Linked DNA regions of Astyanax mexicanus. Each later gene encodes a partner of the first gene's protein in a complex. Links are inferred from orthologs where the notes say so. Each region holds a gene or a part of one and is shown in the gene's direction. Other genes may lie near its edges. The genes, in order: lrp5 and fzd8a.

Region 1 (8,950 bases):
TACAAGTTCGCTAGGGTAGTGAACTGTAGTTCCCCACAGCCGGCGGCACTCATGCAGCCCCAAACCATCCGTGCAGGCACGCAACAGTTTAAGATGTTATGTTGATGTTTTTTTTTTTGTAATCTGAAATCATGACCAACATTCAAACTAAAATTAACGTCTATTGACGTTGGTGGCCAGCTGGGATGACAATCCACCACCTTGCTGCCACCGTTCTGTGGCACAGTGTCAGGGTCATCTTTGTGTAGAGCAATAATCCTTTTTTTTAAATCCTCAGAGAGTTATTTGCCATGAGTTGCCATGTTGAACTTCCAGTGACCAGTATGATAGAGTGTGAGATAACTCTCTTTTAAATGCACACATAGCATTCCTTTTTTGTGTAGAAAACCATTACTAATACAATAGGACTCTCTGGAGCAGATGAACATGAACCTATTGGCACTTTACCCAATGCCATGTTTGATCTAACGGGACCCTACAGCGTTGAGATATAGAGCAGTGGAACTGTGTTCTCTGAAATAATGGTGCTCTATACCATACCTATGGCATGAGTTGGGGAGTTGGCAGTGAAGTGAGGTACGGATCATCCATCCAACATTCTGACCTCATTAATGCTTTTGTCACTGAATGCAATCTGAACCTCACAGCAAATGCTCCAAAATGTAGCAGAAAGTTTTCCCTGTAAAGTAGAGACTGTTACGCTAACAAAAGTAGGATAAAATATTTTTAATATTCTTGTTTACAGTTGAATGTTCATAGAAGAGTCCAGTGTATGATGCGTGTGTATATGAGGTAAAGGGGGGTTGTTGTTTTTGCTGAAGTATCTCTTTAATATTTTATCTTCTGTTATAGAAAACAATAGCATTCCTGTTTTCTGGCCGTCTGAAGCAGCAGGAAATCAGGGCCTTTTGGGTTATGTGACTGTAATATTAAAGTGATGTATTGTGGGTAGTGGTAGGTGGTTGAAAGGGTGTTAGCGTTGAGCTTGCTGACGTTCTGCTGCAGGAGGCCGTGTGTTTTAGAGAACCTGTTCCACATGGCCTTCATTACCTCACAAACTATGTCTTATATTCAGTCTTGGCAGCGATTTGGCCGGCAAGCTCCAGCTCTGAGGCGTATAAAACACAAACTGAGGGAGAGGGAGAGAGAGAGAGTTTTATTTGTGGACAGGGCCTGGTGGATCAAAGCAAGCGCCGCAGGCCTCTCTGCACAGGTGACCGTAAAGACAGGTTTCATTATGGCATTTTTCTCTGGGCTCTGAATCACTGCCCACTCCTCTCACACGCACCTCTCTTTACCTCCCTCCCTCTCTCTCTATTTCTCACCCTGTTAAACCCAATCACTTTCTTTCTCTTTTTCTTTCACCCTGTCTCTCTCTCTTTCCCTGTTTGACCTCTTGCACTCTTTCTTTCTCTCTCTCTGACTGTTTTAACAACAAGGGTGGCAAATGTTTAACCATCTTAACCAGCAGATATGTTTAATTGACATAAATAACGGTCATTAAAAAAGTCTTAGTAAAAAAATATACTATTATCACTAATATTACTACTAGATGTGATAGTAGAAGTAGTAGTAGTGATTGGCGATAAGTCAGACCAAGGATTTGTTGCCGAAAGACATTCCTCGGAAACCCTTGCTGTGTGTGGGTGAGCATTATCCTGCTGAAAAATAGCAGTTAGAAGCCCTGCTATGAGAGACAACACCAGTCTGCAGGATGTCCTACACATATCTCTGAGTTGTTAGTGTCCTTCATATCACTACTAGGGGTGACCGCTTGTTGTATGAATTGGCTCCCCAGATCATCCAACCAGCAGCCGGGGCAGAGTGATGCTCCACAGCAAAAGCAGGATTAAAGTGTCACTACAAGGCTTTCATACTTAAAGCCCCCATCGTCAGATCCCATACAGAACCTGTTTTCAGCATTAAAGATCATACAATTCTAGTCCACAGCACTCCAAGTGTCCTGTTTACCTCATCACTGGAAGTCACAGAGAGAAATAAGACTTAAAGATTCTTCTTTAAAGGGATATTTCACTTACCCAAATCATTGGACCCAGGTTTCAATCGCTTCCATGGCCACAGGTGTATAAAACCAAGCAGCTAGGTATGCAGAAAGCTTCTACAAACATTAGTGAAATAATGGGTCTCTCAGGAGCTCAGTAAGCTCCAGTGTTATACCCTGATAGCAACAAGTCCAGTCATGAAATGTCCTCACTACCAAATATTCCACAGCCAACTGTCAGTGATATTATAACACAGTGGAAGCGACTGGATATGAAAGCAACTATCTCTGTTAGTGTGCAGCATAGTGTGCAGAGGTCACCAACTTCCTGCAGAATCAATCACTGCAGACCTTCAAACTTAATGTGGTCTTCACATTAGCTAAAGAACAGCAGAGCATTAGGAGCTTCATGGAATGGGTTTCCATGACCGAGCAACTCCATGTAAGCCTTTTACCAAAGACTGCATTGCGCAGGTGATTGGATACTTAGTAAATGTAGAAGAACTAAATTATTTAACATTTTTGTACTTAAGTATTGCATGTAGTTTATTGTATAATGTAGTACTGGAGTACTGCAAGTAAAAGAACAGTACCGTGTTATATGTTAAGCAGTTGAAAGTTCTCAGTGAAAGGAGAAACAGGAGCAACAAGGTCTTCTTTTAAGATCTGCTTGATTTACACAATGATGAGAAGCTTTGTCAAACCTGGAGACAGTGCAGAGGATCTACTTATCTGGCTTTAGTGATAATGTGGGTTTGAAACATTTTTAACTTTTTTAGAATGGTAACGAGCATTAATGCAGCACATAAAAAGGTATACAGTACAGATGCAGCAATTTAGTACTTAAGTATTGTATTGAATTAGTTCTAGAATAGTAAAACCCTCTAGCATTGAGCTGTGAAGCAGTGTAACTTGTCTCTGGATTTTTTGGAAAATTATGGATGAGGTGGAGTAAACAATAGAGGCAGTTACTCTAACAAAAGCAGGATAAACTAAAAAAAGAAGTAGAAACAACAAATAAGCAGGTGTCCTAATACTTTCTGCCATTATAGTGTTTTTGATTTTTATGTTGCATGTTTGTCTGTATGGACTTTCAACGTAGTGAATATTTCATAAGCGGACCTTATTACATATATTTTATACTCCTGGCCTAGATGGCAGACAGTGTGTCAAAATGACCATCCTGCTTTTCTCATTTTAATGATACAGTTCAAAAACATGCATCATAAAGGCATGCCTACCAGTCACTGATCTCTCACAAAGAGGTACACTACCCAAAAGCAGCCTCTGAGAGCCAAAAAGGCTTAAAAAAAAGCCTAAGAGCAGGAGGAAGAACCACTGAGAGAAACTGAGACTTAAAAGAGAAACCAGTCATGGTCTTATTCACTTAGTCTATTTATTGCTATTGCTTAGTATTTAAGACTAATTCTGTCTGCCCTGTGTTGTACCACATTCTACAGCCCGTTATCATAACAAGCTGAAAAAATAGAACTTCATCGCCAAGAAAAGCGATGGCAACAAAGGAGTAAATGGTTTATCATTACAACTTTTTTTAAGAATGTGTGGGAATTTGAACAGTTCAATTCAATTTAACACAGTTTTGTATAATTAATACATTTAACTGTGTTCAAACCAAGTCTTCCTGGCAAAAATGGGGATTTTTAGATGCTTCCTCTAATTGCAGCATCCTGTGTCATCACTAAATGAACTTCTCTGTTTCAAATATATTTTTATTATATCTTCCTTATGCTTGAAAGTTCCAGTTCCTCTTTGCAATGGAAGAAGGGTCTATTAATGGCTCTGAAACACTCCTTTGCTGCATTCTAAATAAGAACTACACACTAATACTGTAAAATGTATATACTAGTAACAATAACAATAACAAGTTCTCCAGGTGAATTTTTACAGCATTTGCATTGTTATCTGCCAGTGTAATTTTATAGTACTGTTTTAGACATAAGTAGCTTCTCCCTATTCGTTTTGCATTGCATTATGGGATATTTGCACTCAAAAACAGACCAGTTCCACTTTTATCTGTACTACACATTTCACAATCAAAGACTGATAACATACTGATTAATACACAAATGGGATATACTGAGAGTAAACGCAGCATGAATGATCATAGTTAAACTGCTCTGGGTTGATTGGTGGGCAGTCAACCATTAATCTGTTCATGGATGTAATCTCATAGCTACAATGTGTAAATTTTTAGACTCAAAGATCTGCACTACACTTCTTACAAAAAAAAGCAAGGACATTTTATTTTTTCCATTTTTTACTAGTAAGAGGCCTTGGAGCCTTGGAAATCTGAGACTGAAAGCTTATCAGAGAAAAGAAATCCTTGTAAAGAAAGTTGTTCTGCTGTCTAAACCAAGTCAATCAATTTATAACTTTAAACTGAACTTTAACCCCCTTAATCTGGCTCAGACCTGCAAAAGGTAGACACACACACACACACACACACGCACGCACACAAATGCACACAAGTCCTCCATGTTTCCCAACCCGTTTCCTGGCAGTCTCTTCTCTGTTGGAGAGAACCACATCCAAAATGTCTCTTCCCAATAACAACATCTCCTTCAATACCTTCAGATACCCTGTTACCTCAGATCAGATTCAGATTAATTTCAGCTCAAAATTACACTTCACTCAGTTTTTGTTTCAAATTAAATTTCGCTTCGATTCAGATCAGCGTAGATCAGATTCAAATTTGACTCGATTTAGATTAAAGTCAACCCAGATTAGATTTAAATTCAGTTTAGATAATAATTATGATAATAATAATAATAACAACATAATAATACAAAAATATTTAAACACTCTTAGCAAGAATAGCTACTAATATTTGTTTTATAACAACCGTGGAAACCATTTGATGCTTGATAAAAATATCTTAACATCTTAAACATATCAATATTTGATTTAGATTTTTTTTCAGATGAAACCTTTTTAATGTTTTTAAAATATCTTTATCTTAATCAAACATTATCAGTTTATATTGAATTACGCAGCTATTTGCATGTTGCTCTGGGTTTAATCCGCTTTAAATGGTTGTATCTAGAGTTGTATTTTTCACGCCGGAGTTGTGGCGGCTTTTTATTTCCCGCCCGTATTCAGGAAAGTCCCGTCTCCTCCGTGCCTTGATTGGCTCACTTGGAGCTCGCAGTTCTTGCTCATGCGCAGAGACACCTCCCGTTGTAGAAGGACGAGGCTGCGCGCGAGGGCTCTGGCAAGTGTGAACTCCGAGCGCCAATTACATTGCAGGGGGCGGGGCCTCTCCCCAAAACAGGTGCAAAAAGAAAAATCAGTACGATCCCAGGCGCTGACGTCAGAACCCGTTTCCGCTGTCATTCCCTGTAGGAGCCACACAGAGAGCGCGGTCCTGTGTTTCTCTCGGACGGAATAAAAGTACTTTCGCGGTTCCAAGGCGGACTAAAAAGTTGCTTTTGGACTTTTCTGACCCGCCAGCCACCCGAAACATGGATTTGAAGCCGCGCAGCTGAAGCGAGGACGGCCCGAGATGGAGCTTTTATTCGCGCAGCTGCTGCTGCTGAGCTGCGGTGTGACGGTGCTGTGCGGTGAGTGAAGGACTTTTGTTCACATTTTGTGCTGAAAATCGCTGCTAAAAGTCCCGCAACTCGGATTAAAGCCGTGTAAACAGCGTACAAGTCCGTATAACACGCATCTAAATACTAACACATGGAGGAACCGGTTTCTAATTCGGTTTAAAACTGGTTTAAACTGTGATTGTGTACTTAGTGGACACTTTCTGGGAGGCGGATTTGCTGAAAATGCACTGAGAAAATGGAGCTGCAGGAGTTGTAAAAGTGATCAGAAACCGAATTAAATGTTATAAAACACGATATTGGTGTAAACGACCCTATTTGGGAACAGATGAAAAAAATGTAAGGTATAGTTAGATGGTAATCCTGAAGTTAAATTGAGCATTTTTATACTCTATAGTTTGTCACCATAAAAAGAAGTACAAACGTCTTTAAACACAGTTATAATGATTTTTAAAAATCGTATAAACCTGCATATACAGTTAAAAACAAAGTTGTTATAGAGAAAACACAATTAATAGAATAACTAAGCTATTTGCTCTATTCATGAGTGCCAAAACAATCACTTTTGATTCAGTTCAGCTCAAATTTAATTCAGGTTCTGATTCAGATTAGAGTTACATCAGTTTTAGTTAAGATTTAGCTCAGATTTGTCCATTTGAGTTGGATTAACATAGATTGGCTCAGATTTGGTTCAAAGTTCATGTAGATTTGCCTCAACATAGGATTTATTTACATTAGGACTTAAATCAGGTTTATCACGGGTTTTATTTTAAATTCTGTTCATTTTTTTTAGATTCAGCTCAGCCTAGCCCAGATTCAACTTTAACTTTAAATGCAGCTTAAAATATTAAATACAGCTTAAGATCAGCTGGATATCCAGAAAAAAAAACCTACACTGTGTAAACTAATCTCTTTAATTCAGATTTTAATATTAAATGTGGTACCAAAATTTAAATACTTCTACAGCACATACACTTCACACACATTCAAGCTGAATTCACTAAGACCAAAAAATGTGGGAAAATAAACATTTCCCAAGTGCCCTGCTGCATGTTTAAACTGGGTTCGGTTACTTTTAGGGTGGATTGAAGCCTTGCTGCTCCACAGCTGCTGTGGAATGTGTAAGTGTGTAAAAACGTGTACATGTGTAAACTAAAGTTTTATTCAGATTTAGGGGTAGTGTTTACTGTTTTACCTCAGATTTACTCTCTTATTCTGAAGTATGGACACAAGGTGTTTGGTTACTTTAGTGATAATGAGGCTGAAGGGTTGACTGCCTGGCCTTGGTGTCGAATAGCAGACTCAGAAGTGCACACAGATATAAAAAGGGGGAGAGTAGTATTTTGTGTGTAAATAAACAATTACACACTATCAAAAATAGTTTCTTTTTAAAATAGGTTAAATATCAGTTATCTGATATTTTAAATTGGATAAATCTGGACATATTACATTTGATCTCAGAGAGTGAAGTGTGTTCAGTGCTGTTCAAACATCTGATTTCATTTAATGAAAAACAGATTAGATAAACTGAATATTAGATGGGAACTGGGAATACTAGACACCTTTCAGGAGAGCAGTACAGAAATAACAACAAACAGCTTTATAGATTATTTTCTCAGGTTGTTAGGATTTTACTGTGATTTAATGACCCAAGGTGTATTTATTCATCAACTTCCTTACTATTTTTCCAGTAATAATATTTGTGTTGATTTATTATCCAAAAACAGAATACATTTTTGCACCAATCTCTTTATCCCGTACCGTGACCCACGCTATTACTTTTAGACTGATATGTAAATTACCTATGTTCTGACTGGCTGCCTAATTTAAAAGGCACTCTGAGCTGAAACACTCCTTATAATGTGAGTGCGTGTGGGCGGAGCTGAACTGATGTAGACTGAATAGGCAGATATACAATGATGGAATGCATTGTGTTTTTTGTGATCTCTCCAAAACAGTTTGTACAGAAGGACTGGGGTATAAATGGTATGCCAAAAAGGGTTCTTGACTGAAGCAAAATGTGTTGTTAGTATTCTTTGTGTTGATGGAAGATGATTAATATAGAAATATTTAAGAAATGGTTTAATGGAAAGCACCAAAAAAGGACAACAAATATTTTTGCAGTGCTATATTGAAGCTTTTTGTCTAGAGTGTGGTTTTAAGCCATTTTAGTTAAGTCTTCTATTTAAAAAGCACTCTGTGGTTTTCTGTCATATGGGCTCTTTAATCAGAACTGATTTGTTGAGTATCGGGAGTGAGATGGCTGGACTCATTGAGATACAGGACTGTGCAAAATGTTAGTCCCCTGTGAAAATCTAAATGAGACCCCCTTTTTTGGGTAGTTTGTGATCATTTTTTTGTTAGTCTTTTAGTCTTTTTGGCTTTATTTTTTTGTTTTGTTTTATGATGTGCAGAAAAAGATCACATCATACATCACTGTTCATTAAAACATCTCTAAAGTTCTTTTCATGGGAGTCTAGTAGTAGTTTGATTTGTCCCCAACACCTGGTTTGGTAAATCAGTGATTATTGATGTTAAACCAGGTGAGCTGGTGGTGGAATTGAAGACATCTACTGGGGCGTTGGCTGCGGGTGTCCAGTAGAAATCTGGACCTGAGCTTTGTTCTTTAGCTTTCTCACAGGAACTTCAAAATGAGAAATTCTTGTTACTTTTTTACTTTTTACTTTTAAATTATATGATTAGATTTTGGGCCCTGTCATTGTGGTAGGTTAACATGTTGCACTTAAGCCTGTGAACAATTTCATAACTAAAAGAAAATTAAATGCTTACGGTTGCAGTGTAAGGATAGAGCATGCAATACTTGCACACTAAGCAACAAGAGTCTGTATTGTGCTGAAAAAGAGAACAGTACTGAACCCAGACCCAATACTGGTGCTGTAGAACCATTTTAAATTTTTAAATGGGGGGGGGGGGGGGGTCTTTAGGGGTTCTATGGTGAAGGATATTTTTACACTGAAAGTCCAATCCAAGGTGGATGTTTTTTGTACTAGGGCTTGATATGAACCGTATGAAAGCCACAACCAGTGACATGTTTCGTCTTGCCTTGACCTTGCCAGTAGATCAAGACCGGCAGTGTCTGAGGCCGAGACCAGATTAAGTTATTTTTTATCATATAAATAGAAAATGCAGAAAAATAAATAATCTGTTAATAATGGTGTAAAATTGCTGTTAAAATACACTGTCATCCATAGCACAGTGATTTCTGTTGAGTTTTTGCTTCACATTTTTCAATTTTTCAAACAGGACTTTTTGCATTCTCTATAATGAACTGTTGTGTCAGTGTTACAGTGCTATATTCTTTTTTTTGTCATCAGCTACAGGGGTGGAGTCTCTCTATACTTCATATGAATTGGTTTGT
Region 2 (9,496 bases), on another chromosome or scaffold:
ACTGTACCTCAAAGATTAACCATCACTAGTGTGTTATAAACATAATTTATTAACCGTTTGCTGTAGCAAATTTTAAGGATACCTAATAGTTATATTTTAAAGCTTGTTCATTGCAAAGATTAGAAATGTGCACAATAATCAAGTGAATTTCTTACATTTACACATTATTATCATAGTTATAGCTACAATAGATTACTCATTTATGATAAAATATGTGTATAAATAGTATATGTGAGCTTATATATTAGAATATATTATTAAAATACTGCGTTGAAATCTATTAACATGATCTAAGAGATGTACACTGAATGAAAACTGTCATACTACAAACACTCTCAAGCTGTTTGATCTTGGGTGAATTATTTTAAGATGAAAAGATCAGATGAAAGGACTTTCCTGCTCAGTTGTTCACAAACATTACATACATTTAGGTTCTTTCATTTGTAAATAACATTGTAGTTTCATTGTAGTTAACATAAAACTAACAGTAGGAACTGGGTTGTTAACTAACGTAATATGAAATGAAGACTAATAATTAATAAGACTAACTTAGAAGTTATATTTATATTGTTATTATTTATTATTATTTATATAATATGTTGTATATAGCTTATTTCTGCCTGACCAGAAAAACCTCATCTCATCTCGTCACCAAATTTCAATAGTCAGTTTTATTTTAAGTCATTTTAGAGCTTTTATATTGTGTCAAAAATGCAGGGGGGGATACAAGGTTATATGTATATTTGTCATAGACATGTGTAGTTTGAGCATATGTATACCAGCATTAAATGCAGCAACAATACAATGATAAATGTGCACTGAATAAACTGGTATGATACAAAAATTTGTTTAAAACTGCAGTTTGGCAGAAGTGGCATAAAGTTATCCAAAAGCAGTGTGTAAGACTGGTGGAGGAGAACATGCCAAGATGCATGAAAACTGTGATTAACCAGGGTTATTCCATCAAATATTGATTTCTGAACTCTATGAACTTGTTTTATATTTCTTGCATTATTTGAGGTCTGAAAGCTATGTTTAAATAGGCTTTAAAGGCTATTTTGAAGGCAAAAAAGTGTGGTTTGTATTCTATAAAAGCTGTTTGTGACTTATTGACCATTAAAAAGGTTGAGAACCCCTGTTCTAGTAGAAGACATTAATATAAATACAGCAAGAATCGCTACACACTCCAAAAGCATACAGAATACACATAGTCACAGCACAGAGAGCTCAATCTGATTTCTACAATAGTGTATCTCTTTGACCTTGGGTCTATTGTTTTGAGATGAAAAGGTCTGAGGAACAATATTCACATGCTCTCTGTCACTCAGTAACTGCAGCATCAGCCATAAATCTGAACCGAGACCTCCACAGCTCTAACTCACTGTGAATCATTACCTGACCACCATAAGCAGACCGTATTAATGTCTCTCTCTCTCTCTCTCTCTCTCTAATGCCCCAGCTAAACAATTGTTCCAAAATGAAATAATCTGGCTATTATAAAGTCACATTTTCTGCTTATATTTTCTACAACCCTGATAAACAAAAAAATTATCCAAACTCAGAGTGTGAGCTGAAATTAGTCCTGATTGGCCACCAATACACACGGCGCAGGGCGACAGCCTGTATGTGAGGGCTAATAAAATGTAAACACTGCTAATATGCAGCCCATTCCTATAAAGATAATCAGACCTAATCACATTGTTTGCCCTTTGAATACATACTATGCTAATGGGCAAACACACAGGCATGCCGAGTGTGTCATTAACATGTTGAACAGCATTAGATTAGGCTGAGGTTATGGGTTTTACGGGTCTACGGGAGTGACCAAGATAAACACATTTTTCTAATTACACATTTTTGTTTGACACAATTGCTTAATTTCAATTGTTTACATATTAGAAGCACAAATAGGCACGTTTTTATTGTTTTTTACCTGGTCTTTTTTTTAAATTCTGGGGGTATTTCAAGTATGAAAAGTTTTCAATTGTCAATTGAAGTTCCTTAATTATCATTATTTTCTTTTATTTTGCACTTATTTTCTCAGTTGCATTAAATAAATTCCCTTAATTTTTAACATGCCAGCTTGTTGTGATTTGATTTTATTAACAATATCCATGTTTTGTATGAATTATTCAGTTTTCATTTTATTTTAGAGAGTAAAAAATGTTGACCAAGAGAAGAAACATGAAATCTTTTGTTTAAATTACTGAAATTACATACTCAACAATGTGTTAGTATTTAGTGTATAAACTTTGTGGAAAATTAATGTGCACTATACCACTGTCCTACATTAGTATTAAACCATTGTAGTTTGTTTTTACCATTTTTTAACCCTTGTGTTGCCATAAGGTTATTCTTTTTTACTTTTAATTACTTTTCCTAGAGTTTCTCCAGTATTAAAGAAAGTGAAATGTTGTTTTCGTTCATACTTCCATGAAACCTATACACCAACAGGATACATATATTGTTTTGGGAACTTTTTTTGACATTTAGGACACAGCAGGTATACAGAATATTAAGATTACACACGGTTTAAACATCCAGGCAGATTTGTATTTTGCTGTAAATTAACTGAATTAATTCCCAGATGTTTCAGTACGTTCTAATAGTCGAGAACAGACTTTTTCCACAGTGCTGAGCTTTTCTTCCCGCTCATACTGACACTCGAGCAGGAGCGCTTCCCCCTCTTGGCCCCAGCCGCAGTCTTTTCTCTTTCTATAGAGTGACTCAATGGCGATTTGAAAATTAACTTTCGAACAGATGCACTAATTCCATTTGTGCTGAGGAATGCCCGGGCACCATGTAACCCAAGCCGGGCCTGCTGTGGGCCTCCACCGGGAGGGGGGAGAGGTTACGCTCCGACTGCTGGAGACTAGAGTGGGGTCTATCTCTCTGTTAATCAATATGGGCTCTGCCAATAATACGCATAATCAGTGAAAGCGATGCCGTTTTTTCATCTGCCACACTCAGTGGGGACCTCAGAATACACACCTGTTCCCTGTGCTCAGGGAAATTAGATAATCATTTCATGCACTCTGGCCACATACACTGAGTTTTCAAGGAAAAGGGAGGGGGAGGGGAGGAGCCCCCCTCCCCCGTCCAAAACAAGGCCCTCCCCATACTCATGTATGTGTATTACAACCCTATTATGACCTGATGATGAACATTAAAATAACTTTCAACTTCATTGATGAAGGACGAACACATTTTTAGATTTGTTTGATGTTTTGTCACATTAAAGCATGAAAGAGTGAGGAAATGAGAACAAAGTGTAGATCAATGGGAAAAAAAGCCTTTAATTTATTATCTTTTATCTGTGGGTTGTTATTACATGATTGTTGATGTGGAGTTTCTATGTTAGAAGTGGAAGTTAATGTGGTTTCTAATAAATGTGTCCTTTGTTCACATTTAAGTACAATTTCATACATAGAAACCTTTACTAGGTTTCAGCTAGTTTTGTTGGTGAAGACCTTTGGCTAGAGCTGATTAAACACAATCATACTTGTGTAATATGACATGTTTAACTCTGTATTATGACACAGTATCTGTATTTCCATCTGTTATTTGAAACATTAACTACATTTACCTCTGTTTTATGCCACATTATCTATGTATACCTGTATGTATGTCACATTAACTGTGTTTAGCATTGTAACATATACTTAAATAAATATTCTTATTATATTTACATTTGTAATATTTCACACTAACTATATTATATATACATTGACAATATTTACCTCTAAATAATCGCACATGACCTATATTTTCCTTTATAATATGGCACATTAACTATGTTTGCCTTTGTAATGTACCACATTACCTATATCTACCTTTATAATAAAGTAATATGTAAAAATATGTAAAAAAAAATATGTAACCTTTTAATCATTTTAATTAATTTCAGCTATATTTCCCATTAACTATAGCAAGGTTATTGGTCCAGAAGAGAAGTTAATGGGTCTCAGACGGGTCTTGTATGAACAAGTAACGAAGCTCTGTCTTCCAGACTGGACCAAAACTTGACTGGTCGTGACTCAGTGCTAGACGGTGTATTTCCAGTTCCTCTCAGTGATAATGAGTTGTTAGTGCAGGGAGGACACAGTGTGGAATGGGGGGTGGTTTCTTGTTGCTCTGCCACTGTTAACAAACTTCTCTGCTTGTTCTTGGCCTCCCCGTCATTACGCCCCCCTGCGTGAGTTCCATGCAAGCATTTAAGCCCCCCATCAGCACATCAATACAAAACTAAACACCCCATGCTGCAAGGCAGGACAACCAGCAGCCCCCCTCGCGGGACCACTTAGCATGTGCTAATGAACGCATCACCCGATAGAAAGCTCTTACTCACAGCAAATTAGCTGTTTTCTGACAATAGAGCAGGAAAGTGTGTCTCATTATTATTATTATTATTATTATTATTATTATTATTATTATTATTATTATTATTATTATTATTATTATTATTATTGGTAGTAGTAGTAGTAGTAGTAGTAGTAGTAGAAGTAGAAGTAGAAATATGTTATGTGATAAATAGGGGCTGAATTGCAGCAAACATAACTGCTAGGAAAACTGCAGAATTTATATACAGTATTTTAAAGAAAATATCAATACATATTGAAAAATGCTCAAGACCAGCTTCTGCTGGTAGCTGGTTTCAGATGAAAGTGTGACTTTGTTGGATAAAATGGTTAAAAATCTGCTCATCCGATTAGTGTAAATCCAGGTTTATACACACAATATTGTTTTTTTATATGTTTTTTTAGATGTCTCGTAATTTAAGTGGTCAATTATAGATGTCCCATAGATGCTAACTGACATTCAAATTACATTTAACTGCATGTATATTAAATGCAACTGAAAGTAAATGTATCTTTATTAAATGTAACCCTACATCCAACTCTAATCAGAACTCTAATCTTAACATTTTAGTGTTAGGTTTATGCTTAGATTTAAGGTTTAGGTATAAAGTGTTACCTACAGCTCTGGAAAAAATAAGAGATCACTTAAAAATGAGGTTTTTTTTCTATTATTTATTTTACCTTTAATATAATTGAAAACCTCTGAAATATAATCAAGAGGAAGATGGGTGATCATAAGCCATTAAACCAAGCTGAATTGCTTGAAAATGTGCACCAGGAGTGGTATAAAGTTATCCAAAAGAAGTGTGTAAGACTGGTGGAGGAGAACATTCCAAGATGCATTAAAACTGTGAATAAAAAACAGGGTTATTCCTCATAATATTGATATATGAGATCTTAAAACTTTATGAATATGAACTTGTTTTCTTTGCATTGTTTGAGGTCTGAAAGCTCTGCATTGTTTTGTTATTTCAATCATTTCTCATTTTCTGCAAATAAATGCTCTGAATTACAATATTTTAATTTTGAATTTGGAGTCTGTCTATCTGCCTATAGATCCATCCATCAATCCATCCATCTATCTAAAACCCTATGCAGGAAAACACACTATCCCTCAGCTTTTGCTGCAAATGAACACCTTGAGTAAACTCGACTGGCTGAGCTGCTGGGCTCCGCCCCGTTGCGAGCTGATTGGCGCGCTCCGCGCTGGGGCGTGGTTTAGCAGCCGTCCTCATAAATAGGCAAAGCGTCCCAGTCAGTGCGCGGATTTGTATGAGAGAGAGAGAGAGGCTTTGTCAGCTCGCCGCATGCACTCCGACGGCGGATCTGCTCTTTATTCTTCAGCTTCTGTGCGTAAACTTCCATTTCTCCAGGGCGCGCTGGAATCGGCGCGGCGGCAACGAGCTGAAGGACGCGGCGCGCTCGGGAATAAGGGAATAAGGCGAAGTGGACGGCGCTCCGAGACGGCTGCATATCCTCAGCCATTTTGCCTACACGCCTAGGGGGCTGTGATTTTTTTTCTGTCCGGTTTTTCCCCTCTCGCGCACCGCTCCTCCTCTGCTGCCTCCTGCGCGTTACACGGTTTTGCAAATCGGTGCAACTCCGTGCGGCGTGATGGGATCGCGCCTGAAGATCTGATGGGACTTAAGCTATTGCAGGGCATTCATACAATAGCCTACAATAACAACAGCAAGGACTGGTGGACTGTAGACTCATCCAGCAGGAGCAGCGGCAGCTCTCCTCTATTGTCACTAAGAGGTGCAGAGCAGGATTTGCTGGAGCATGGAGTGCTACCTGTTGGGGATTTACCTGTTCCTGTTCCTGGCCCTGGGCACCCTTCAGCGCTCCAGCGGAACCACAGCCAAGGAGCTCACCTGCCAGGAGATCGCTGTACCCCTGTGCAAAGGAGTGGGGTACAACCACACGTACATGCCCAACCAGTTCAACCATGACACCCAGGATGAAGCAGGCCTGGAGGTGCACCAGTTCTGGCCTCTGGTGGAGATCCAGTGCTCACCGGACCTGCGCTTCTTCCTCTGCAGCATGTACACCCCCATCTGCCTGGAGGACTACAAGAAGCCACTGCCACCCTGCCGCAGCGTGTGTGAGCGGGCACGGGCCGGCTGCGCTCCCCTCATGAGGCAGTACGGCTTCCCCTGGCCGGACCGCATGCGCTGTGACACGCTGCCAGTCCAGGGTGACCCGGACACCCTGTGCATGGACTACAACCGGACTGACTCCACCACAGCTTCACCTGTGCTCTCCAAGCCCACAGGACGGCCGGGCAAGCCACATGTACCTCCTCACAGGACCAAGCACGGGCGGCCAGGTGTGCAGCCGCCCAAGCGCAAGCCTGGGTCTCCCTGTGACCCGGGTTGCCAGTGCCGTGCACCCATGGTGAGGGTGAACAGCGAAAGACACCCACTGTACAACCGTGTCAAGACCGGCCAGATGCCCAACTGTGCCATGCCCTGCCACAACCCGTACTTCACCCAAGACGAGAGGACTTTCACAGCTTTTTGGATCGGGTTGTGGTCTGTGCTGTGCTTTGTGTCCACTTTTGCAACTGTGGCCACTTTTCTGATCGACATGGAGCGATTTAAGTACCCAGAGAGGCCCATCATTTTCCTCTCAGCCTGTTATATGTTTGTTTCCATTGGCTACATTGTGAGACTGATTGCGGGCCACGAAAAGGTTGCATGCAGCCGGGAGTATGATGTGGAGCATGTGCACTATGAGACGACAGGGCCTGCACTTTGCACTGTTGTCTTTCTGCTGATCTATTTTTTCGGCATGGCCAGCTCAATCTGGTGGGTGATTCTGTCCCTCACGTGGTTCCTTGCAGCGGGCATGAAGTGGGGCAATGAGGCCATAGCCAGCTACTCACAGTACTTCCACCTGGCTGCCTGGCTCATCCCAAGCATGAAGTCCATTGCTGTTTTGGCCCTGAGCTCTGTGGACGGGGACCCTGTGGCTGGGATTTGCTACGTGGGGAACCAGAACCTGGACAACCTCCGGGGCTTCGTGCTGGCACCCCTGGTCATCTACTTGTTCATAGGCACCATGTTCCTGTTGGCAGGTTTTGTGTCCCTGTTTAGGATCCGAAGCGTTATAAAACAAGGTGGCACTAAAACGGACAAACTGGAGAAGCTGATGATCCGAATCGGAATTTTCACAGTACTTTACACAGTGCCAGCCACCATTATTGTGGCATGTTACTTTTATGAACAGCACAACAGGCAAAGCTGGGAGACCAGCCACAACTGCTCGTGCCTGATGGAGCATGAGCTCCGGAGGCCTGACTATGCTGTCTTTATGCTTAAGTACTTTATGTGCCTCTCTGTGGGCATCACGTCCGGTGTTTGGATTTGGTCAGGCAAGACTTTGGACTCTTGGCGGGCCCTGTGCACGCGCTGCTGCTGGGGCAGCAAAGGCACGAGCGGCTCCACTTACAGTGATGTGAGCACGGGGCTCACATGGCGCTCAGGCACAGCCAGCTCTGTGTCCTGCCCCAAACAGATGCCCTTATCCCAGGTCTGAATAAAAAGACAATGGACTGCTGACTGCCTGGAGGAGGTCATGCATTAGCCTTTCCCTTTATTAACATACAAATGGACTGCTAATGGTTTCTATTAGGCCAGCAGCAAGAAAGGCTGGTAGAAACAAGGTACTTGTCATTATTATTATTATTATTATTGTTGTTGGTATTATTATTATTTTCTTTCCATTCTATTGATATGGACATGCCATGCAATCAGTGACGCCTAGAGAGAATCGGGGCACCACACTGTCTTAAGTGAAGTTTGGACGTTCGCCCCCATCCTTTAGCCAGCCTTTAAAGGAAAAGTTGTTGTTGCTTCACTTTTACACTTTTTACGTAGCGCAAGACAGCTTGAAATGTCTAAACAATCAAAATATCAAAGACTGTCTCGAATAAGCCTTAAAAGTCTTAGTGCCCAAATATTTTACGGGTTGTTTTTTTTTGCTTTTCTGTAAATTGTATTTATACAATTGTTGTGTACAAACTTTGTAAATTCTGTACAAAAAAGATTTATAAAATTATTGTAAATTTGTATATAGTGTAGATGTCACTTGAAGACAAATATGAATTTTATTTTGACAATAAAACATTTGGAGAAATCTTAAAACTTTTGTATTTTCGTCTCTAGGTGAGTAACGAGGGTTTTTCTTTTTTTTCCTCTCCTTTTTTATGGGGGTGACCCTATTGAAGGTGCTTGTTCTGGGCTCTTTTGTGGGGCCTTGTAAAGAGAAGCTTTTCTTAGCTCTTAGCTATCTGGGGCCGTAATTAGAGGCGAGGAGCTTGAGTTGGAGAATCTCCATAATTGTTGCGCTCTTCACTTAATTTACTCCAAGAGGGGCTGAGTGAATGGGGTTTAAATGCAGGGAACAGGGCTCTTTTCATCTATGGGAAACTTTGATCTCTCTTTAAAGTCTCCAATAAAGGTGACATGTAGATAGAAGTTTTTTTTTCTTCCCTGCTGCCAATGCACCAAGTTGTCTAATGTCTAATTTGAGAGCGCCATCAAAAACGTCTTACTCCAGCTTCAGCTGTATTATTAATGGTGGAGTTTTAGTCTCAGACGTGAGAGGGAGTGAATGGCCCCCCTACAGGTGGTCCCTTTACAGTAATCCCCCATCCAGGGACCTTTAGTGTGAGCCCTGACAGAACTGCATTAAAGCTTAGACAAAGAAGCTCTCTGGAAAATGTTGCCTGATGGCAAATGAAACAGTATGCTTTCTTGTTTTGTCCCACACAGGCCTGTTGCGATCACACTCGGCGGAGGGGGGTGAAATTTTTTAACACATTGTCCAGCTTTGGTACACAGTAAGAAGGTTATTTAGCCCTTTAGCCTATTTGGGGCCACAGTGTTTGCTCTTTTATTAAGTCAGCTTTCACACTTTAGTGGTATTCAGTGAATATTATCATATGTTGTTTACTTGCTTTTGGTTGTACTATTTAAGTTCCAGTTAATTTGGCATTTTAAAGGAATGGGTCACAGAGAAATCTCATTTAGTTACACATTTTTCACCCTGAAAACAAACTTCTGTTGTCCAGAATGTGCTACCAGGCTAAATTCATTTTTATTACTTTTAAACTACATTTTTTCTGTTAGCTT

What was found.
Region 2: lrp5 (region 1) and fzd8a share a complex: the UniProt entries of both Homo sapiens proteins name them as parts of the wnt-signaling complex. The link is inferred for Astyanax mexicanus from reciprocal best matches to the Homo sapiens genes LRP5 and FZD8.

What each region holds. Positions count from the first base shown.
Region 1 is NC_064417.1:10,262,840-10,271,789, forward strand, and holds the start of lrp5 (low-density lipoprotein receptor-related protein 5), read left to right. Parts: upstream 1-5,332; 5' UTR 5,333-5,525; coding exon 5,526-5,583; intron 5,584-8,950. UniProt on the Homo sapiens protein: Acts as a coreceptor with members of the frizzled family of seven-transmembrane spanning receptors to transduce signal by Wnt proteins.
Region 2 is NC_064413.1:47,784,385-47,793,880, forward strand, and holds fzd8a (frizzled-8a), read left to right. Parts: upstream 1-5,626; 5' UTR 5,627-6,140; coding exon 6,141-7,898; 3' UTR 7,899-8,511; downstream 8,512-9,496. UniProt on the Homo sapiens protein: Receptor for Wnt proteins. Component of the Wnt-Fzd-LRP5-LRP6 complex that triggers beta-catenin signaling through inducing aggregation of receptor-ligand complexes into ribosome-sized signalosomes.